2 linked regions of the Diceros bicornis minor genome follow. The protein of the gene in region 1 purifies or fractionates together with the protein of each later gene. This does not show direct contact. Links are inferred from orthologs where the notes say so. Each region holds a gene or a part of one and is shown on either strand. Other genes may lie near its edges.

What was found.
Region 2: the proteins of CDC25A (region 1) and CCNB1 purify together in Homo sapiens (affinity purification with mass spectrometry; 3 studies listed by BioGRID, with this or other methods). This does not show direct contact. The link is inferred for Diceros bicornis minor from reciprocal best matches to the Homo sapiens genes CDC25A and CCNB1.

What each region holds. Positions count from the first base shown.
Region 1 is NC_080741.1:49,425,589-49,437,534, forward strand, and holds the start of CDC25A (M-phase inducer phosphatase 1), read right to left. Parts: upstream 5,449-11,946; 5' UTR 5,002-5,448; coding exon 4,832-5,001; intron 3,820-4,831; coding exon 3,746-3,819; intron 2,364-3,745; coding exon 2,321-2,363; intron 1,417-2,320; coding exon 1,380-1,416; intron 884-1,379; coding exon 782-883; intron 1-781. UniProt on the Homo sapiens protein: Tyrosine protein phosphatase which functions as a dosage-dependent inducer of mitotic progression. Directly dephosphorylates CDK1 and stimulates its kinase activity. Also dephosphorylates CDK2 in complex with cyclin-E, in vitro.
Region 2 is NC_080759.1:8,347,629-8,359,178, forward strand, and holds the start of CCNB1 (G2/mitotic-specific cyclin-B1), read right to left. Parts: upstream 5,081-11,550; 5' UTR 4,969-5,080; coding exon 4,948-4,968; exon of another isoform or gene 4,909-4,947; intron 4,357-4,908; coding exon 4,186-4,356; intron 4,095-4,185; coding exon 3,936-4,094; intron 2,298-3,935; coding exon 2,115-2,297; intron 857-2,114; coding exon 698-856; intron 485-697; coding exon 248-484; intron 1-247. UniProt on the Homo sapiens protein: Essential for the control of the cell cycle at the G2/M (mitosis) transition.

The sequences.
Region 1 (11,946 bases):
TTTCTGTACGCTCCCTCAGGACATCTTGCAAGTTGCCAAAGGAATGACTGAGAGAGTTCATGGAGGCAGTAGGCTTCACACCAAACCGAACTGTGGCATTTTAGCAGAAAATGGAAAAGGGGAGAAAATAGATATGGAAATAGAGTAAGAAAGAAGACTGGAAAAGTTGAGCTAATTCATTTAGCTATTTTGGATGCCTACCCTGTGCAAGGCACCCTGCCAGGTGTGAGAGCAAAGTCGGGCCAGGGTGTTCTTGGACTTTTGGATCGACAACCACAAGCTCACCCTCTGAGCTACCATTTCAGTTACTCTGAGATTCCCTGGGACTTGTTGGCCCTGTTCTTTCAAATACTGTCAAGAAGTGTTTTTGTAAGCTTACAACTCATCCCAGGGTCAGCACAAAGAAGCAAGGAAGGCCTGGGCAGACCTTTCCAGATGAACTACTCATGGATACAATAACTACTATCTGAGCAACTCCTACCTGCCAGGAAGGATTTGAAATGCTTTATCTACATTATCTTATTTAACTCCCATAACAGCCCTACAAGGTACTGCTACTCCTATTTTACAAATAAAGAAACAAAGAAGCCTAAAAAAAGAAATAACTTGCCAAGATCACATAGCTAGTCAGCAGTAGGATCCAAACGCAAGTTTCTCTGACTCCAAAGACCATCATGACTTTGGTGAAGGTTTAGAAAGCAGCCCAGCCACTTCTCTGTGAGCCACTGACACTTGTGGGCTTTTCCTCTGCCCTAGGTTAGTATATTGATGCCACACTCACGTTTTCCTTGTTGTCATCCTGGTCGATCAGCTGAAAGACATCATGATCAAGAGAATCGGAATGGCTCCTCTTCAGCGCTGGGCTACACCCCAAGAGCTTCTGCTATCAAAGTGAAAAAAGGAATTAGGGTACATAAACAAAAGTTCAATGGAAACTCAGTTCTCTAAAGGAAAACAACAAGAAAAAAAAGATGGTGGGGGGGGGGACTAGCTCCTCACACACTGCAGCAGGTAACCAGTAAATGTGCCAGGGCTCCACCTTGCCAGAACACAGTTCTCACCACATGGCTTTACGCCTAACCTCACAACATCTACAGCCCTCTCAACAGGGATTTAGGGTGTCAAATCAACCCCAAAATAACATCATTTGCACAGAAAGAACCCCTCCTGGTTTGACAAAACTGTGTTAGAGATGGAGCAAAAGCCCTCAAGAGGCAGCCATTATTGAAGTTGCTTTAGGTACAGTGTTTTGACTGCTTACAAGGCTAGGTTTTCCTTAATCTTCACTGTCTAAATTACAGTCTACTATCAAGGTCACAGTGGTAGGTAAGGGGTAGATAATAGGTATTAGCTCAAAACAAAAAAGGGAACTAACTTACAGGCAGGGAATTTATTCTCTTCATGGGATTTTCAAGGCTGCAATGAGATCAGAAGGTAAATAATGAGAATGAAACAAATAAAGAGGTTTTCACATTAGCAGATGCATAGTGTCTAACCTATACTTTGTGGGGGTAGGGGAGACAAATATATTCCCATTTTAGGCAAGATGAAAAAACAGATTTTTGAAGCTGTCCTGTTCTCACGAGCACCCCCAACGCTGGGCTTCTAGGCGAAAAAGGCAAGCCCAGGTCTTCTCTTAAAATACGCTCATTTTTGCGGCCGGCTGGGTGGCGCGAGCGGTTAAGTGCGAGCACTCCGCTGCAGCGGCCCGGGGTTCATGGGTTCGGATCCCGGGCGCGCACCGACGCACCGCTTGGCAAACCATGCTGTGGCAGTGTCCCATATAAAGTGGACGAAGATGGGCATGGATGTTAGCCCAGGGCCAGTCTTCCTAAGCAAAAAAAAAAAAAAAAGGAGGATTGGCAGATGTTAGCACAGGGCTGATCTTCCTCACACACACACAAAAAAATACGCTCATTTTAAGGCTATGATGTCAGAAGGTGGAGCAAGGGTTTGGGTGAGACTGAAAAAGAACACCAAAATTAAAGCTAAAATAAAGAAAGAGAAGTTCTCAAAACTGCTGACACAAACTACCCATTCTCAAAAGGTACCAGACTGTTTATAGGATATAGATCCAGGAGGCTTACTAGGGACAGCTAAATCTAGAGTTCCAGTCCAGAGCATGAAGAATTTCATTAAAAAATTAAGAAACATTTTTTTCTATAATGTACAACAAAAATTTCACAATAAATAAAAAAAATGGATAAGAGGTAACTTCTCTACACACTTTGTGTTATGAAATAAATGTCATGGAAATGTAAAAAAAAAATTAAGAAATGTTTTTTCTAAGCACAAACATTTAAAAGCAGTGAATATATACTTTTCTTTACTGTCCAAGGGTCCAGGAGAATCCAGACAGAAGCCTGTGGGAAATTAAAAAAATCTCTCAAGAAATAATACATGAAACACCATCTTGTTATTAAAATAAACAAATAAATAAAACTACTAGTACTGTTTCTTTAAGCCAGTCAACAGAAACTTATGGCTTGGACTTTTGCCAGAATTGAAGCTGTATCTCTACTTGATTGTCAAAAACTTTATATTTGCCCAAGTCTTAATATTTTCATAGTATATCTACTAATCCCCCTTTCCTTGCAAATACCATCAAGAGTGTGAATTAATTAATTAATTTTTTTCTCCCAAAGCCCCAGTAGACAGTTGTATGTCATAGCTGCACATCCTTCTAGTTGCTGTATGTGGGACGCAGCCTCAGCATGGCTGGAGAAGCAGTGTGTCTGTACGCGCCCAGGATCCGAACCCAGGCCGCCAGCAGCGGAGCGCGCGCACTTAACCACTAAGCCACGGGGCCGGCCCTCAAGAGTGTGAATTAAACCAAACCTTCTCATGATTGCTTGGTTATTCAGCTAGAGGTTACCCAGGTAACTTTCTAAATGTGAGTTCCAACCATGGAAAGAATAGGTACCAGTTTTCTGGAATAGTTTTGATTTCAAGTATTTTATTTTGTCTGATCATATGCACAATGTTGGGGTTTGGAAAATACAATTATGTCATCTGACAAGCAAGGCAAGTATTTATTGACTTCAACAAAATAACACCAAGTGAGGTGACCATCTCACCAAAGGCAGCAGGGTGGAGACACTGCTCAGCGTGGCCCAGACCCACCAGTGCCTGCCTAGCACATACCTTTCCTCCATGATGTCTATATAACCTTACAGGAAGTTAGGTGTTAGCTCCTGACTGGTATTCTCCCTTGCCACACTGCCACAAATGAGAATCCTATCCCTAGTTCTTATGCCTACATTTGAAGACTTGCTCTTGCAGTTTCCTAACCTAAAGCATATGTGCAAATACAGATAAACTCTGCAGTAACATGAATTTATAAATTAGAATAAAATGCACTGGCAAATTTCCTCCACAGCAGGCAGGCTCACTGAAATAATTTCATTATATTTCAGATGCCAACAATTTGACCCTGTATTTTAACCAATGAGATTTTTGGAATGCCACTTACAGTGGTATGGTTAATTTTACCCTACTACGCATCCTCAAGACCAAACACACACCACCTTCTAGCAGACACTTGTTTCTTCTCTTCATAAACTGCCACTGGGACTCCTTTGTACTATTCTTAAGGGTATTAGTCACTCAATGCCATGACTTCTCTGTTTATTGTCTCAACTACTCACCAAACTAAGTTCTTAGGTGAAGGGGCATGTTTCAGCAAATTCCAAGTATTGCTCCCACAAAGCAGACACATGATAAATATCGAAGACCAAAGGAATACCTGAATCGGTTGACTCGGAGGAACCCATTCTCTGCAAACTGCTGTTTTTCACCTCCAGTAGCTGTTCACACTCACTGAAACCAAGAGAAATAATTCTCTCTATATATTTCTAGGACATAATTAAAAGGTTACACACAGGAGACAGGCCATGAGGTTAGCTAGTAGGCAGGCTGCCATCAATCATCATAACTTCCAGGCCACACCACAGAACACTTTGCCACCCAGAACCGCCAGTTAGCACTAGAGCATAAAGGGAGATGAGAAAGGAGTGGGTGGGCATGGCCTGGGTCACATTGTAGGACAGGATGACTATGATGATTGTTGGAGTATTTCCTGAAATGAGAGCATGTGTTCTAGGTACTGTGCTAGGAGCTGGGATGAAAGATGAATAGGACAAATTCCTGCTTTCCAGAGGTTGGAAAACGTATAAGTCACGTGCTTACTTAGAAAATGGGATGTCCAAGATTGAAGGGAAAACAGCTTCACCAGAAACACTGTAGGATGCATTTGTTGCTACAAGGAAAAGTTTAGGGAGCTTTTGAGAACGGAAAGTTGAGTAAAAAGGCCTGGCCTTATTACGGAAACCACCGGGGTGGACATAAGGAATGTGCACGGGGCGAGAGACTGCGACGATTTTGCGCAAACGCCAGGAAAGAAAATGCCACTTCTCTTTGTTGAGAAGGAACAAAGCTCACAGGAAACTACGATCCTGTGAGGTGGTTCAGCAAAGGGTGGAAGTGAGCGCCTAGAAGGGCCTGCTTTTCCCCCGTGGGGCTAGATGTCAAAGAGCTTCCTGGGATAGGGACAGAAGAGTACAGGGCAATCCGAAAGAGGTGGCGAAGGTGGGGAGCCGTGGCCGTTCTCACCCACTACCGGGCCTGGCTTGGGGATTGAGGGCGGTCTTGGAGGATCCGAACGGCCTCTCCCGCCCAACATTCCGCCTATGGGGAGGGTGCACATGGTGAGCCCCCGCCTCATGCGGGCGGCAGGTCTCGCCCCTCTCCTGGCCCATTTCCCGGCCTGATCTCCCCGAGAGCCGTCTGGGAGGCCAGCGGCCTGCGGCACTGCTCGCCGGTCCCTCCTCACCTGCCCAACCCCTGCAGCTGGTCCATGGTGACCGTCAGGTTGGTGACAGGCGACAGGCCCCCGGCGGCTGGCGCGCCGAACAGCGCCTTTGCGACGGGCTGCGGCGCGGGAGGGGGGCTGCAGGCGAAGAGCAGGCGGCGGCGATGCGGGGGCTCCGGGCCCAGTTCCATGGCGGCACCCAGCCTCCCAAGGCTCCCGCTCCCTCTTCCTCCGCCTCCGCCGCGCCCGCCCCGCCCCGCCGGCACTGGCCTCGGCCGCGCGCCCCTTAGCCGGCGCCCGCGGGTCAAACACAAACACGATGTCGCGGTTCAGGGACGCGGCTGCCGCGGGCAAGCGGCGCGGACGGGCGAGTGTCCGGACCAGGTAGGCGCCAGCCACACGCACGGGTGCTCCCCTCTCACCCCGCGAGGCCAGCGGCGGGCGGGCGCCGGCAACCTGAAGATTAAATCCAAACAAACGCGGAGGGTCAGGAAGGGAGAGCGGCCAGAGCCGCGAGTCAACCGCCTGGGCTCACACTCTGCTCGCTTTTCTCTCACCCCCTTGCCCAGCCCGAGGTTGCAGAGAACCAAGCCGACCTTCACCTCCTTCTGGCTGTCGCTGCCAAGGTGGCCTTTCGCGGTAATAGCTGCTCACTGGGGACCGCCACTACCCCGCCCCCTTTCCTAGTTGGCGCCAAACGGAATCCACCAATCAGTAAGTAACTTCTCCTCCTCGCACCCGAATGGCAGCTAGACTGGACCAATGAGAGGGGAAGAAGGAAGCAGCTCGCGGGACTCCGCGAGGTCACCAGCTCTCAGAAAGGGGCGGGGCCTAGAGGAGACCTGAGCTGCTCGGAACGAGAAGGAGCTCAGAGGTCAATGAAAACTCCCGGCAGAACCTGCGAGGCTCCGGCCTGACCGGAAGGCGCCTCTTCACCCGTTGCATGCTGGGAAGCGTAGTTTGCACGTCACGCAGCGGTCAGGTGACCTCCAACCCGCGTTGGGCCGGGGAGTCCCGAGTCCCATAGGCTGAGGGAGTGTGGAAGATGGAGAAGGTTGTGCTAGCCACTGGGGACCCGGCTGGACCCAGCCGTGACTCGACTTATAACCGTGCAGTAGTGTGGACCCCTCTCTTACGCCTTGGGCCTCTCAGCCGCGGTTTTATAACGAGGGAGGGAACTGAATGACCCGAGGACTGGGCTCTGCCTCCCGACAGCAGGGCCCAAGTTCCGGGCGCTAACACTCCTGTCCACCGCTTCTGTCCAGCGGGCCATCAAAGATCCTGCAGGCTGTGGCGACCACAAGCCGCTGACGGCAAGACTTGACCCTACAATCCGGCCTGGGCCGTGGGCCTCAGTAATCTTAGCGCACTTCCATTTTAGCTCCTATTATATTTTCTCAGAATCATTTCCTTCTCTGCCACCCTTTGGTACCCCACTGGTTGCTCCTATTTAGCAGTACCATAAATATAATAATAGCTAACGCTTATATAGTGCTTATGTGCCACTGTTCCAAGTGCTTTATCTGTCTTAATTCATTGAATCCTTACAACAACACTGAGCGGAATTATTCCCGTTTTATAGGTGACTGTATTTATTTTTATATCCCCTGCTCCAGTGGCAGCTCCTAGAATAAATGATTTTAGTAGAGGGGCATTGGTACAGCAATCAGGCTGCAAGAGGACTTGTCTTTAGACAGCATGTTTAGAACAGACACTCTGCTTATTTAGATTGTATATTTCTTTATTTATTTGAGGAAGATTGGCCTTGTGCTAACATCTGTTGCCAGTCTTCCTCTTTTTCTTTTTTCTCGCCAAGGCCCCAGTACGTAGTTGTATATCATAGTTGTAGAGTTGTAGCTCTTCTATGTGGGATTCTGCCTCAGCATGGCTTGATGAGTGGTGAGTAGGTCTGTCCCCAGGATCCAAACCAGTGAACCCCAGGCCGCCGAAGGGGAGTGTGTGAACTTAACCTCTCTACCGCTGGGCTGGCCTCCAAATTGTATATTTATTTTAGGTGTTTGGTAGAGATTATGACTACTACCTCTGCGTAAGACCTACCATTAAACTTATTAAATATTTGTTTGAAAAGCTTTTGTTTTCAAAGGTTTGTATTATGCAAATAATACAAAATAATTATAGCCTTAGGAAATACGGATAAGCGTAATTTTAAAAATCATCTGTAATTCTACCATCTTCAGAGAAACAATTGTCAACATTTTGAACTTTTTGTATGTGTGTGCACTGTAAGTATACAGTCAATAATTGTTTCACGGTCAAATAAAGGAATGGAAAGCCCTCCCTCCTTGCTGGACATTCCCTGAATGGGATCAGCCCAAGTGGATTAACATACTGGAGTATTTCCACCAGCAAGTCCAAGTATTGAAATAAAAACTTGGTGTAAGAAATGTCAGAGAACCATTGTTTTTTTTTCCTTCTTAAAGGTTGACTGAGGGCCGGCCCCGTGGCTTAGCGGTTAAGTGCGCACGCTCCGCTACTGGCGGCCCGGGTTCGGATCCCGGGCGCGCACTGACGCACTGCTTCTCCGGCCGTGCTGAGGCCGCGTCCCACATACAGCAACTAGAAGGATGTGCAGCTATGACATACAACTATCTACTGGGGCTTTGGGGGGAGTTGAAAGGAGGATTGGCAATAGATGTTAGCTCAGAGCCGGTCTTCCTCAGCAAACAAAAAAAAACAAAAAACGAGGATTAGCATGGATGTTAGCTCAGGGCTGATCTTCCTCACACAGACACACAAAAATAAAGGTTGACTGAAGTGTTGAGGGTGATTTTTATGTTTGGGCATCTTCAATTGTGAAATGGAAGCAAAAGGAAAAGCGTAATTTAACCAAACTCTTTTCCTCATTCACTTAGGCATGGTCTCCAAAATCCTGGAGCAGCACTAGGGGAAGGGAAGAGCCCTGCACTGTGAATTGGAAGGTCTGAGTTCTAATCTGGTTCTACTTTGGGGCAAATAAATTTTTGCTCACTCCTTCATTCATTGTCTACTGAGAGCCTACCAGTTTGCTAGGTCCAAACAGATAGGGTCAGTGCTTCCTTGGAGATTTGCCTGGAATGCCCTCCTCACTGCCATACTCACTTCACTCAGCTAACACCCACCTTTCCCAGGTAAGCTTTACCCTCAGACACCCTGGCTGATACATTCCCCTGTTATCATCCACCTTCCAGGCACTGCATGTTTACATTTGTTTCTGTGAGTATTTAATCAGGGTGAGTACCCCCAAATGACTATAAACTTGAAAGGGTAGGGACCTGCCTTTCTTTTCCTTACTATAGTACCACCCACTACCTGGTTCAGGGGACCCCTCAGTACATGTAGACAGAATACATGCTGCAAAGAAAAAGTGTGAATGCTTTAAGAGTGTTTAAGAAGGGAATCTGATCTGGTCTGGTACATCAGGGAATCCCTGAGGAGGTGTCCAGAAGGATAAATCCTTAGAAAGTGGAAGAAAGAGTGTTCTGGGCAGAGGGACAGGCCCTAAGCAAAGGCTCTGAGGCTAGAAGGCGTCCCCTGTGTGTGGCAGAGAACAGTGGAAGAAGAGGAGGTTGGGGAGGGCCCAGACTCTGCAGGGGCTGTAGAAAACATTCTGGAACTTGGACTTTATCTCAAGGGCAATGGGAAACAATTGAAAGGTTTACATTTACATTTTGAAAAGATAACCCTGGCTGCAGAGTGGAGAACTGATTAGAGAGCAGCAATGGTAGAGCTGGGGAGACCAGTTTGGAGGGGATCACAAGGTCCTACCGTGAGATGGTGGTAACTTGAACTAGGGAGGAGATGATGCAGAGGGGGAGAAGTAGGCCTCAGTTTCTACCTGTGAGTGGTGAGAGAGGTGGAATACAACTGTGTCTCTCAAGCAGTGAGGTACCCCAGCAGGGCTCCTGGCTCCTCCCTGCCACTCCTTGGGAGCCACAGAAACTCAGCTTTTAAATTTGCATTATATATCACAGGGCCCTGTAGATTTTATTTGGAGAAAGTATTCCCCTTGTTAAAGACAAAAGTAAATTGGGGCCCGCCCGGTGGTGCAAGCGGTTAAGTGCACGCGCTCCGCTGCAGTGGCCCGGAGTTCGCTGGTTAGGATCCTGGGCGCGCACCGATGCACCGCTTGGCAAGCCATGCTGTGGCGGCCTCCCATATAAAGTGGAGGAAGATGGGCATGGATGTTAGCCCAGGGCCAGTCTTCCTCAGCAAATAAGAAGAGGATTGGCAGATGTTAGTTCAGGGCTGATCTTCCTCACACACACAAAAAAAGTAAAAAACAACAAAAAAAATTTCCCATCAATTTATTAGGCTTATTTTCTGTAGAAAAAGAAACATTCCTTTTCCATTCAATGGTTTACATGTGCCCATTCTCCTTTCACACAACTGTGCTAGTAGTAGGATTGGATTTATTCTGCATGGTTACAGGAAGCAGCATGAGCCTCCTTGGAGGCTACAAGGTTTCAGTTTAACACTAAGAAGGAAAGCCAGAACTACCAGAGCTTTTCAAGATGGAATAAATAGCCCAGGAAGCTATATAACCAGTGTCTTAGGTACTGTCGAGGTAAGGAGGAGTACCTGGAATCAGAGGTTCCCAAATTCTGGTTCTACATTGCAAACATCTGGGGAGCTTTGACTTTTATTTATTTATTTATTTATCGAGTAGGCAGTCCATTTACATGGTACAAATTTAAATAATAACAAAAAAACGCATGGAGGAAATCTTGCTCCTATCTCGGTCCGAAGCTACCCTGTTTTCCTCCTTGGTGGTCTCCTAGAGTGTGTCTATGCTAACAAGTCTATGTACATATTCTCTCAAACAAACTTTTTCTTTTTTTTTTTTTGTGAGGAAGATCAGCCCTGAGCTAACATTCATGCCAATCCTCCTCTTTTTGCTGAGGAAGACTGGCCCTGGGCTAACATCTGTGCCCATCTTCCTCCACTTTATATGGGACACCGCCACAGCATGGCCGGACAAGCGGTGCGTCCCTGTGCGCCTGGGATCCGAACCTGGGCCCCCAGTAGTGGAACGCGTGCACGTAACTGCTAAGCCATGGTGCTGGCCCCTGTATGACTTTTAAGGCCATTGAAGACCAGAGATCGCAGACATTATTCTAATACATAATTTGTATTTGAAATGGATTGTGCTGAGTAGGATGGTATTCTGAGCACAGGTAAGTCCTGTCTCGTGGCTAAATGTTTGCTCTGGGATGATGAACTTTTCTAGCAGAAGCCCCCCCATTCTTTCACGAGTGCTTCCTGAACAGTTTCACCCACTCCCAGTACTTCTTCAGCCTCCTCCCTTATCCCACAGAACTCCCAAGTCCGTATCTCAACTGGAAGCTCTGTCCTGAATTCCAGCCCCTTGACTGAATTCACCAAGTATGACCTACTGGCAACTCAAACTCTCCTTGCCTCAAGTCCACTTCTCTGTTTACTTCCAAACCTGCTACCCTCCCTAGTGCCCTTGGCAGGAAATGGCACCTCTGTCTACCCATTCTTCCTCCCTGCTGCTGCCCTGATTTAGCTGGCCTCCCAAGCCTTGACCCCAAATGATCTTTCTAAATGCAAATCTGATTTCCTCCTCCCACCCACTGATGAAATCCCTTCCTGTACCCACCCCATTGCTTAAAGCAGGGGATCCCATACATTTTGGACCCATGACTCAGAATACACATATAAAAAGTTTTCAATACGTCATTTACTCATACTACATACAATACATTATTTTCTACTTTATTTTATGTCACTTAAAAAATCCTGGCTAAGAACCCCTAAAATTAATGTTATGATGGCCTGTGACCTACAGTTTGAAAGGCAACAGCTGACAGGCTTCATTGAATCCCAAAACCTTTGGCTCAGAACACCAGATCCTTTACAGTGAGGCACCCTCCTCTCCTGCTTCCTCTCCTTTTTCCCTCATAAGCACTCCAGCACCAGCCATGACCCCCTGTCTCTCTAGAAACCCCTGCTATTTAGGCCTCTGTGCTGTCACAGTTCCATGGTCTGTGGTTCCCTCTCTGCCCAGTCAACTATGTTGTTGGGGCCCAGGGCAGGCTGCCCCAAAATATCCCACAATGGCATGTTGATTATTTTGAATTAAAGTTACTTGAGAAGCAGCCAATGCAAAAAAAAAAAAAGGAAGCATTTTGACCCTCCTCTCTCTTTTCCCTCTGAAAGCAGGAACTAAATCTCCCATGTGAAAGGTACCCTCCCCAGACCAGGAGGCAGAGACATCCTTATCACCAGAGCTAGGGAATTCAGGGCCATAAAGCCTATATAAACAAACCCTGTTACTTTTACTATTTTACTACCTCAAGCCTAAACTCTACTCAAATTCCTCACTAATTATGTACCCCAAACCTAAGTTTATTTGTCCTGTCATTCCTCACAAATTTATTGTTTCTTTGTGCAAAAGATGTATATATATATTGCCTGCTTTGTTTACTCTCTGAGCATTTCTCTATGATCTCCAACATGTACACATTAAATTGTATTTTTCTCCTATCAATCTGTTTTTATATCAATTTTATTATTAGTCCAGCTGTAAGAACACAAGAAGGATAGAAGGGGGAATTTTACCCTCCCTGACAATTTCAAATATTTTCTTCATTAAATCTCTGAAAAATTTCTTCCCTCTCCTCCTGTTTTATGTAGTTTAATACTTGGCTCAACATCCCTGTTCTTGCATGCAATCATTCAACAAATGTTTATTCATTGCTTACTGGGACAAACCTAGCACTTGAAATAAAACGCCACAATTCCTACCCTCAGGGGGCTCACATTTGACGAATGCAATCTCTCAGAATGATCCTTATAGTAATGGAACCATCACCAGGATAATGGCTGCCATTTGTGGAGGGTTGGTGGGACCTGGAGGAGGGCAGGAGATGGAGATGGGGAAGGCTGGAGGGGAGGGAGAGGGAGGACTTCCCAAAGGAGATTAAAGCTGCTGAAGCTTGAAGGTGTAGCTCACTGGAAAAGGGGAATTTGGGGTGGGGTGAAGTGGGGGTGCTTTCTAAGGAGAGGAAAGAGCCCTCAGAAGCTAAGAGGTGAGAACAGCACTTTCTGGGAACTACTTCTAGAATAGGCACATGGGAGTTGTTGTGAGAGACCCAAGTGTGAGGAAGGGGACA
Region 2 (11,550 bases), on another chromosome or scaffold:
CTGTCAGAGAATTCTGCCTTGGCAATATCCGAGATGCCCATAACTATGACTACAAATGTTTGTCTATAAACGCTCAAATGCAATTGCTCATGGAAGGTTTTAATAATATACAGCCTGATTGGAAATAAAGAACACCTTTATCCCTTCCTCATGTACTTACAGGTATATAAGTCAGTTGAATTAGATCCGTTTGGTTAGCAGTATTCCCTAATGTACCATTATCAAAGATTTCTCAAGAAATCTGTACCTCTCCAATCTTAGACGCTCTCCGAAGGAAATGCAAGGGTAGAGGGCGACCCAGACCAAAATTTAAAGCTCTTAGAATCTTCATTTCCATCTGTCTGATTTGGTGCTTAGTGTAAGTGTTGTCAGTCACAAAGGCAAAGTCACCAATTTCTGGAGGGTACATTTCTTCATATTTGCTTGCAATAAACATGGCAGTGACACCAACCAGCTGCAGCATCTTCTTAGGCACACAATTATTCTGCAATGGGAATTTCACCTTGATTAAGTAACACGTATTTGAAAAAGGAGACACAGAGCTATGAATGAGAGGTGGGAAAGACCTACTCCCATAACAAAATCTCAGTTAATGACACCCTCTCCACCAAGACAGATTTTAGCTGAAAACATCTGTTTCTTCTGACTATGCTAGGACCCTGGAAGGAAGAACCCTCAATTACTGAATTATGCTCACCTGCATGAACCGATCAATAATGGAAACAGTCATGTACATGGTCTCCTGCAGTAACCTGAATTTCATTTGAACCTGCACTAGCCAGTCAATTAGGATGGCTCTCATGTTTCCAGTGACTTCACGACCAAGTAGGTATTTTGGTCTGACTGCTTGCTCTTCCTGCAAAAAAAAAAAAAAAAAAAAAGCTGGATTATCCTTAGAAGCAAGACTCCACGTGACATTTCTGACCAAAAATATCAGTCACTACAGAATAGCTGTGGAGCATTTAGAATCTCTAATAGTTCTAAGCTTAATTATTCATATGGTCACTATAAACAGCTCTATCACTGAGGAAGAAAGCCAACATTAAATAGGAAAATGTGACAGGTTTTTCATATTGGCAAATCTATGTTCAATTAACCATCACTGCTACTGGCCCACACGCCGCACTCACTTCTTCCCAAATAAAGATGCCATACTATCATCTCAGATCTTTTCACTTAAGACTCTAAACCCAGAACCTGAGCTTTATGAAGTAGAGAAAATAGCAGCAGCTCCCAGATCAGCTGGAACCTAATGTGTTACCACTCTCCTGCTCCAGGGTTTAAACCCCAAAAACACCACAGATAGAGAAGAATGAACCATCAAGGACCAGCACATACATCTGCTAAGCCCACTCCTCCACAGTTAGAACACAAACTTTAAAAAGGGAGAAGAAACCCAAAGCAGGTCCTGGCAAAGAAGTCTTCTTGCAGGACAATCCTGTAGAAAATGGAGATCCCCAAAAGAACCAGGCAAGAAACTGAAGATGTTAATGATGCCAAGAGAAGAGAATGCATTATAAACCAACAATTGGGTCAATTTAGTAACTGTATAGCTCATGTTGTTAGCATACAGAATGCTTCCTTAGTTTTGGGGGGAAAGGGCAAATGCCACTAATAGAAAGTTTCAGAAGTGGGATGAAATGGAAGAAAATTCCTCTTGGACACAAACAACAATTTCCCTGATATGGCACACCCATCAGCCACATTCACTCAAAATGCCATGTGTTGGGGTTGGCTGTAATTTTTCAGCATCTTCTGCACTACCATCCACCTCCTGCCTGTTAGCCTTCTTAAACCCAATGTTTGGGACTTGCTGGCTCCTAACTGTGATGGATATAAATATATCCTTCAATCTGCGGACTTTCCATTACAAAGAGCCATAGTAGTATCTGCTCTCACTTGGAAATCTCCCTGTTCAAAATGGAAAATAAAGACTTCATTGGTCTGTTTAGCAACTTTTTATGTTTGGTATTCTATGAAGGAGATTTTGAAAGTGAAATCTACTGTTAAGAAATGCTGCTCACGTCATCCTTGAACTATTGTAAACTGTTAATGGAAATATCTTTAATAAAGCTAGGTGCACTTTAGAAAAAACAAAGACTAATAATACTGACCTCAAGTTGTCTCAGATAAGCATAGATATCTTTCACATATTCACTACAAAGGTTTGGATCGGCTCCATCTTCTGCATCCACATCATTCACTGCAAGAATTACATCAGAGAAAGCCTGACACAGATATTCTTCTGCAGGGGCACATCCAGATGTTTCCATTGGGCTTGGAGAGGGAGTATCAACCTTGAAACAGAGAGACCTTCTGAAATAATAGCAAGAGCATCCAATCTGGGCATGAAGGTCAGATTACTGGTACCAACTCAAGAGACCATCTGCTGAACAGACATGTAATTCATTTCCTTAATGGAAAAGGATCTTCTTTTCAAATGTATTCAATTTCTCTTTAGGAAGTGATTAATATGAAAACTGAAATGCCAACTTAGACTGAGCCAATTTGAAGAGAACAGAACCTAAACACTAACAGGTAAAACAGAGAAGCAAATTCATATTCTAGACTTTCCTCCAAAGGAAACTGATAAGTAGTTAATCTGTTTATCAGCAACATGTGAAGTTAATCCAAAGGAATGACAAGTCAGTCTTTAGACTTTCTGTGAAAACATGGACTGCTTCTCACTGCTCAGGAGAACATAAGTTCTACCAAGGATTAACTGACTTCATCACCATTAACCATTTTCTTCAAGCTCCAGTCACCCCATTGTTCAAACATTTATGGAACACTTTCTTCAAGTCAAGCTCTGTGCTAGGCACTGGCTTTATGGTGTCCTCAAGGGGCTTTGAATTTAGAAGAAATAAGTAAATGAAGTAAGGAGACTGATTCTAGGAACAAGGGTGGGGTTGGGGGAAGTTAGGGAGTTTCAGGAATTGATGCTTGAGCTGTTTTGCAGGATGCAAAGGTTATTAGCTAAAAGAGACAGAAGGTGGGAAAGGCATTTTTAATAAGTGGGAAAGCCAAGGCAAGAATCAGTATGGGACTTTCAAGGAAACCTCAGGTGGTTTGGTATGGCCAATTAAAGACTGCATGCTACAGGTTTCATGTGCTATGTCCAGAAGGTCAATACTAAAGCAATAGCCTCAAATCTCCTACCCTCAGATATAAGGAGCTAGGCTGAATGACTTTTACAGATATTTTCCCAAGAAGTTTTAACTAAGTTTTTAAAATTAGAGCTTCAGAATGTAGTTCACTGCAACTTCAGCAAAGTAGCCTCTTTTAGATGGTCTGATTTTCCTTCACAGGAGTAGATATATTTACATACCTGATAGTTAATAAAAAGTTCTTAGTTTTTGAGGCTACACATTAACTCATCTTCTTACCTGTTCTCTGAAGAGCTACACTTTCTTTCTGCTTTACATCTTTATATATTGCAATGTTACAGGCTTATTAATTATTCAGTGGTCATATTAGGGAGAAAAAAAGATTCAAGAGAATAATTTGTGTTTCAGTCAACAAATATTGGACAGTGATGGCTTGTACCAAAGACAGCAAAATCACTGGTCCAGGCAGCTACTACTCAATACCATTAACGAAGGAGGGGCAATAGAACAAAACGATTAAAAGCACAGGTTCTGAGGCCAGACAGCCAGGTTTTGAATCCAATATGTGCCACTGATTAGATGTGTGACCCTTGAAAAGATACTTAATACTTTTCTAAACCACTATCTAAAAAAAGTAGAGGTAATAATACTAGGTAAGAGAGTATAAGATTATGTCAATGCATGTAAGGCCCTTAGCAGAAACTACCTCCTGCTAAGCACTGGATAAATGTTACAATTTTTAGTATTTATTTAAATGCTATTCCATGCATTAGTAAAACGAGGGGCAACAAACAATCAACAGATTCTAAACTGGCACAATAAGTTTACCAAAATAGGCTCGGGAGAATGTTTTTCTTCTTTAACAGGCTCAGGTTCGGGTTCTGGCTCAGGCTCGGGCTCCGGCTCTGGCACAGGCACGGGCGCCTTTTCCAGTGGTTTTGGTAGTTTTTTAGCAATAACTTTTCCAGCAGTTAAAGTTTTTGCTTCCTGTGGATGAAAAGGAGAGAATGGAATGTTCCTCCATCAAGAGTCACAGTTAGAAGGTGGACTCAGGTAAGTTGAATCGGGAGATAGTTACCTTTTTCAGAGGCAGTCTGGCCTGCGGCTGCTCACTCACTTTGTTACCTATGTCTCCAAGAGCTGTTCTTGGCCTCAGCCCGGGCTTGGAGGCTGCAGCAGTTGCCACAGGCACGCGCTTTGCGCCTGCCATACTGACCTTCGCCTTGTTTTCAGTATTAATTTTCGTGTTCTGAAAGAAGCAAGAGCACTTTGAGAGCTGGCCCAGCCAGGTTAGAGTGAGTCAAGGGTTAATTAAGGTGGGACAAGAGAGAGGCTCTCGGAAGGAAAGGCGGCTGCAAATGGGTCCAAGGGAAACCGGGGTCCCAGGGTCTACGCTATGGCTGTGACAAGTTAGTTTCCTCCCAGAACTTCTTCTTTCACCCATCGAGGTTTAGTCCCCGCCGGCCCTAAAATACCACGAATTTACATCTGAAAGAAAACCGAAAAACCTTCAACTGCAGGCACCTTCGTTCCGGGAAGGGGGTTAAGCAATCGGTGGGAGCTCACTCAGGGGCCCTGGTTTCCCGTCAACCCTCCACTTGCCTCCCCAACATTTATCCAAGGCCCGTCCAGTTCTCTTTCTCACCTTCCTCTCTCTGTCCGTACGTCCCCCAAACTCCCCCACCATGCCAGAGGCCCACCGACCCCCCTCCACCTCCCCAGATCGCTGCCTGGGTCCGCTCCTGCCGAGGGCGGGGGGGAGCCTCCGGAAGGCGAGATAGGGCGAGGACACGCAGCGCACCAGTAAGGCCGCGTTTGTTCACCGTCCGCAGCAGCTCACCCTGGTGACCCGGAGCGCCATGGCTTCCTCTTCACCAGGCAGCAGCTCAGTGGGGAGAAGCAGAGCAACGGAGCCCCCGACGAGCCAGGAACCTGAACCCACCACCGACCAACAGCCGTTCCTGCGCAGCACGCCAGGAGGAGCCGGGCCGGCCTCAGGTTTAAACCCCGCGCCGCTCCCTCCTTATTGGGCTGTTCGCGGCACTCGCTCCCTTCCCATTGGCGGCTGCCGGTTCCTGCGAGAATGCGTTTCCATGGAGATCCCGCGAAGTGGTTCGAGAGGGGGCCGGGCCAGAGCGAGGCTGCGGCCCCGGGGAGCCTGGCCAGGCCCTCACGTGGCCTGGCTCTGCGCCTGCGCTCTCGCGCAGCTGCTGCTGGCACCTGGATAGGCGAGTGGTGCGCGTGTGGGCCTCCTGGAGAGGCAAGTTTGTGTGCCCCCCGAGCTAGCCAAGGGGACGGCCTTGTATCTCGGGAAAGTGACAGTGGAGCAGCCGCAGTTTGTGAAAGTGAGAACGTGTTATGGCTCTAGTCCTACTTATTGTTACACACTTTACTACAGAGGAAAGGCTTTTATATATGTACCTTCTTTCGTTTGATCATTCCAACACTCGGGTGGAGGAACTGAAGCTCGGAGAGGCTTTGGGTGGCTTTCCCAAGATCACACATTAGTAACACAGGGACCAAACTTAGGTTTGTTTTTTTTTTCCGGATCTGTGATATTTCCACAACACTAATTGTCTCAAGAATATTGTCAGGTTCTTAACCTGCCAGATTACTTCTCAAATTGTTTACCAAAGCCAATCTTTTTGTTTTAGCTTTTTATTTGAAAATAATTTCGAACTTAGACTTGGTGGTCAGGGATGGTCTGAGAAGGTGACATTTAAATTGAGGCTTAAATGACAAGGAGAACATTTCGGATAGAGGAAGGAGTCTGTGAAAACCCAATGATAGGAATGAGCTTGTCATGTTCAGAAAAGCCAGTGTGGCTTGAATATAGGGCAGAGGGGAGAGTAGAGATGAGATTAAAGAGATTGGAGAGGGTAATATTATATAAGTCCTTGTAGACCAAGCTAAGGGGTCTGGGGTATCATAAGTGCAGTGGAAGCCACGTTCAGGGTTTTAAGCCAAGGTGTGGCATAATCTGTTTTGCAAAAAGATTACCTTAGTCATTGTGGAGAGAATGTGTGTAGGTGGGGAGGTGGAGGGGAAGCAGGAGGAGAGAAGCAAGGGGAGCCATTAAGAGGCTATTGTGGGAGGCCAGGCAAAAGATGATGGCTTGGATGGTACTAGTAGTGCTAGACAGAAAGGGATGGGTTCTGGATATATTTTGGAGGTAGACTTGCTGGATCTTGATGGTTTGCATGCTTGGAGTGAGCGAAAAAGGAATCAAGGATGACTGAAGTTTTGGCTTGAGTAACAAACAGAGAAGACTAAGAGATGAGCAGCTTTTAGGGGGTAGCAGGTTTAGATAGGAAATGATAAATTCTGCTACTTTTGGAATGCTTAGAGATATGCAAGAGGAGAGGTTCACTAGGCAGAGGTCAGGGTGAGAGCTAAAGCCTCCTTTTGCTCTAGATAGTATTTAAACCCTCACACACATGAGGTCATCTAGAGAACTGTAAAGAAGAGTAGATGCCCAGGAGCAACCCCTGGGGCCCTTCATATGTAAAGATTGTACAGAGCAGGAGAAGCCAGTTAAGAAAATTGGGCAAGAACACCAGAGAGGTGGGAGACCAAATAGTGGTGTCTCAGAAAAGGGAAGGCAGTGTTTCACAGAGGGTATAGTGGTTTAACATGGCAGATTGAATATGCACATTTCTCTCTCTCTCTTTTTCCTGAAGACAGTAAAGGGATTTAAAAAAAAACTGCAAAACTCTCAAGGATGGGTGAGGAGACAATACCGACAACATTTTGGAGGCAGGAAAGCACATTGAAGAATCGTAATAGAAGTATCAGACAGCCCAAGAAAGTTGAAATCTAAGCTAGCGGTGGAAAGCCAGGAAGCAAGCTGGTTCATGCAATAGACTCCATCGAGTCTCAGGAATTGGAGGCACCAGGAACCTATGAAATTGGTGTCGGTGGAGCTGGAAAGAGGCTTAGTCGATTCCCTCCTGCACATCTGCGCACAGTGAAAGTGCAGCCTCTTCCTGGTCCTGGCAGATGACTGGAGGTTTATTTTATGTTCTGGAGAGGCCAAACGAAAAGAACTCTGGAGTTCAGATGAAGTAAAATTCTTCATACCAAATGGTGAAACCTCCAGTTCTCTTCGCCCACTCAGTCCCCTAAATGCAGGCAGCTGAATTTATATCCTCCTAAATGAGACAAGAGCATGCTTCTCTGTGGAATGGACCAGCCCAAGAGAAAAGTCTTAAAAATATTGATGGTTAGAGTGTCCAGTGAAAAGGCTGAGTCACTCTTAAAGTGATGCTCAGTACTTGACATGCTTACAGACTGACACAGAGCTTCTAATCAATATTTTAGTGTCTTACTCTTAACTATTAATAGCCATCTAGGGAGCACCAGACATTTGAGGAAATCCTCCAACTTGAAAGAAAAAGACCAAAACAAACAAACATAAAAAGAAACTCCAAGGTAACAGGCAATTCTAAAAGTAGAAAGCTAAGAAATAAAAATAAGTTACCATCTATATCATCAGAGAAATAAAAGATAAGAATGCATCCAGAAGCAAGTTTAACAAAGAGCTCTAGGAGGGGCTGACCCAGTGGCATAGTGGTTAAGTTCGGTGCCCTCCACTTTGGGGGCCTGGGTTCACGGGTTTGGATCCGGGGTGTGGACCTATGCCACTTGTCAAGCCATGCTGTGGAGGCGACCCACATACAAAATGGAGGAGGATTGGCAACAGATGTTAACTCAGGGTGGATGTTCCTCACCAAAAAAAAAAAAAAAAGAGCTTTAGGAAATTAAAAATATGATAGCAAAAATTAAAAATGCAATAGCAAGTTTGGAAGAGAAAGTCAAGGAAATTTCCCAGAAAAAAGGCGAAAAGATGGACTATAGAAAAGATAAGAAAATTAGAGGATCATCCTACAAGGTCTGGTATACAACTAATAGGAGTTCCAGAAAAAAAGACCAGAGAAAATGCAGGGAGGAGATTATTAAAGAAATAATATAAGAAAACTTCCCAGAAGTGAACAACATGAGTTTTCCGAACTGCGTCTGAGTGCCCTGCACAATAAGTGAACAAAAGACTCATCCCATGGCACACTGTGCTGGCATATGACATTAAGAATAATGGGAAGACCCTAAAAGGAAACAAAATCAGCATACAAAGGATCCAGAATCAGAAAGGAATTGGACTTTCAACAGCAATGTTGAAAGCTAGAAGATTCTGAGGGAAAATGATTTTCAGTTTATAATTCTGTACCAAGCCAAACCACGAAACAACCATGAGGTAGAATAAAGGCATTTTCAGATTTACAAAGTCTAAAAAATTATCTCCTGTGTACCCTTTCTTAGGAAGTTATTGGAGTGTGTAGTCTCCCAAAACAAGGATGAAAATGAAAAAAGAGGAAGATGTGGGATCTAAGAAACAGTAGTTCCAACACAGAAGAGGGGCAAAGGAAATTGTCAAGACTTGGATGATCCTAGGCTGGCACCTTTCAGTAGGCATAGAGAGCAGTCAGTGCACGCTGGAGATTGACAGGGATGGTTGGCTCTAAGTGGGACATCGCCAAGCGAAACAATGAAGTTGATAAATTACCTGATGTATTTGAGCGTACTGAGAAGAGATTTACACTTCTGGTAGAGTTGGAGATAAATTAGTGATAGGCATAAAAAAACTAGGCAAATGAAAATAAACAAGGCAGTATTAAATCTGGAGCAAACTAAAAGTTGTTAAAAGAAAAAAGGGAAATGTAATCACAATAGGGTACATAGGGCACTATGGTAAATCATACAGTCACAGTAATGGAAACACTGAATACTGATTTAACCAAAAATTATGATTCAACTGTATTGAGAGAGTGGGGAGAGAGAGGGATATATATGAGTGTACATGTGTGCTGGTGGTGGTATAAAAGAGCTAAACCCTCATCTTCCATTGTAAGAAGTTAGTGGGTAATTTTTAAAACTGTATAACCAAAAAATAGCAGTATAAGGACATTATTGAGAATTATGACTGTAAACAGTGAATCACACAGTTAAAAGAATAGAAAATGGTTCCTTTTGGACAGCAGGAATGGGCTGCTGATCAGAGGTGTGCTGATTTTGTTATAAGATTTAAAGAACTAACTTAAAACTATGCACATATGTAACTGAAAAAAATGAAGTTAAAGATGGGGAGTGGTTGATTGTGTTGACTGAAAATCAGGGACATTCACACTAAAATGGAGATAGAAACAGGAGTTGAAAAAGAAGACCCAGGATATAGAGAAACATCGTGAAATAACTTCTTCAATCATATACACTGACTGTCCCATTTGTAGAGCTGGTATATACTTTAACCTCTTACCTCTGTTCCTTGAATTGTTGATGGTAGCTTTGCTGTTTTTTTTTTTTAGGTTTTAGATGCTACATCTAACAGTCAAGGAGGTTATACCATAAAGAGTAAGTCCTCCTCCACAACCAAAAATGTATTGAAGAGTTCTTGGGTATCCTTGAAGAACGTTCTATGTACACGTAAGAGTACATAGATTTCAAAAGAATCTTTAAATCTTTTTTTTGGTGTGTGAGGAAGATCAGCCCTGAGCTAACATCCTTGCCAATCCTCCTCTTTTTGCTGAGGAAGATTGGCCCTGAGGCCGAAATCCATGCCCATCGTCCTCTACTTTATATGGGACGTGGCCTCAGCATGGCCTGACAAGCGGTGCATTGGTGCGCACCCCGGATCCGAACCCGGGCCGCCAGCAGCGGAGTGTGCGCACTTAACTGCTATGCCAAGGGGCTGGCCCTTAAATCTTTTTTTTTTAAATTGTGAATAAATCAAGTTTATTCAATCAATAAATACTTTTTGAGCTTTAACTATGTTTTACACACTGTGCCTAGGGTTACCTGCTTTTAAGGTGCTCACATTCTTACAGATATGAAGATAAATTATTACAATATGATAACATTAGACAGAGTTCCTTCTCCCATCAGCCCTTTATTTTCTTCCCTTTTTCATCTCTTATGGGCAGGGTGACTTTGGTTAAGAGGACAAAGAACTTCATTAGCATCATAACTATTATAAGGACTTTTTGTTGCAGGTGATAAGAACCCAACTCCAACTGGATTACGTAACAAAGGAAATTTATTTGCTCCCAAAACTGACAAGTCCAAGGAGTACCTAGCTTGAGGCATGGTTGGCTCCAGGTATCAAGCAAAGGAGACTGTCTCTCCATCTCTTGCTGTGCTTTCTTCCTTTTGAAATTTAAGAATCTTTAAATCTTTAGAGGTGTATGTGTGTGGGCGTTGGGACATGCAAATTGGTTTACAGAGGTAAGAGTGTTAAAGAATTAGTACTTGAGAAGATAGTGAAAAACTGTTATATTTAGAATGTGGTCTGTATGTATTTAAATTTTTCTTGAATTGGCTCTCATGCAAAAACGTCTCCTCAGCACTGAGGCTCTATTTATTGTGATTAATTATAGCAGTCTAGCAAGGGGAACTTGGTTACAAAGCCTCATTTTAGTCCTCAAAGGACTTTCAGTTTGCAAAGTTAAGTGATGGCATGAAGATGGAGGCAGATAAAAGGGAAAGAAGAAGAGGAAGTGCAAGTAATAAAAGAGGAGGCCTGAGAGAAAGTGATGGAGAATGAGAGAGGGCTCATGCTAGTCCTGGAAGTTGGAGTAGGATTCTCTTCCACAATCCACTCCCAGGGTTACTCTGCACAATAGGCAGTCTTTGTGTAGTGAGTAGTCTTTCCAGAAGGCTGAGTAGCTTGAGACTCTAAAGACTGGAGCTGAGTAACATGGGGTACAGTACAGAGCAGAAACTTGAAAGCACAATTTAAGTCTTGCCTTGGTGCCCAACTGTACTTTACAGTCAGCTGTTTGGTGGAGTCAGAGGTGGGAGTAGATGAAAAGTGCCGTTGATCATCCAAAAACTCTGTGATGCTCCTAGCTGAGGAACCTGAAACTCAGAGTTTTAGCAGATTTGTCACATAGCCAGGATATGGACAAGTCAAGCTTCAAAATCATAGCTAAATCCACTGATTTTTCCTGATTAACAATGTATGCCCTCTCCTCCGTAAAGGTTTTTTGAATCTCCTAGGAGAAAGAGTTTTCTTCTGCTTCTGAACTCAGAACGATATTACATTTACTTTTCTCCCAGCATGTATCTCTTCATTCTTTTTTACATGTTTTTATATGCTCAGTAACGATTGCCTCCCTGTAAGGGCAGAGGCCATATCAGACCTCTTTGTTTCATCCACTGTTTTATATATATTAGGCATCTGTTGACTAAATAGGTGACTCTAATGGTTCCCTTGGATTAATTTAGGACTATTGCCTTGATTTCATAGGACTGCAAGGGATCATCTCACATTCGTTGGATCCAAAACCCATCATTCTAAGTCAGAGAATAAGCGACTGGCCCTTAGATCACAGCTATGGTGGAGGGTCTTATTCCTAGGCCAGTCAGTGTCCAGCCCACTGGACAATTTGCA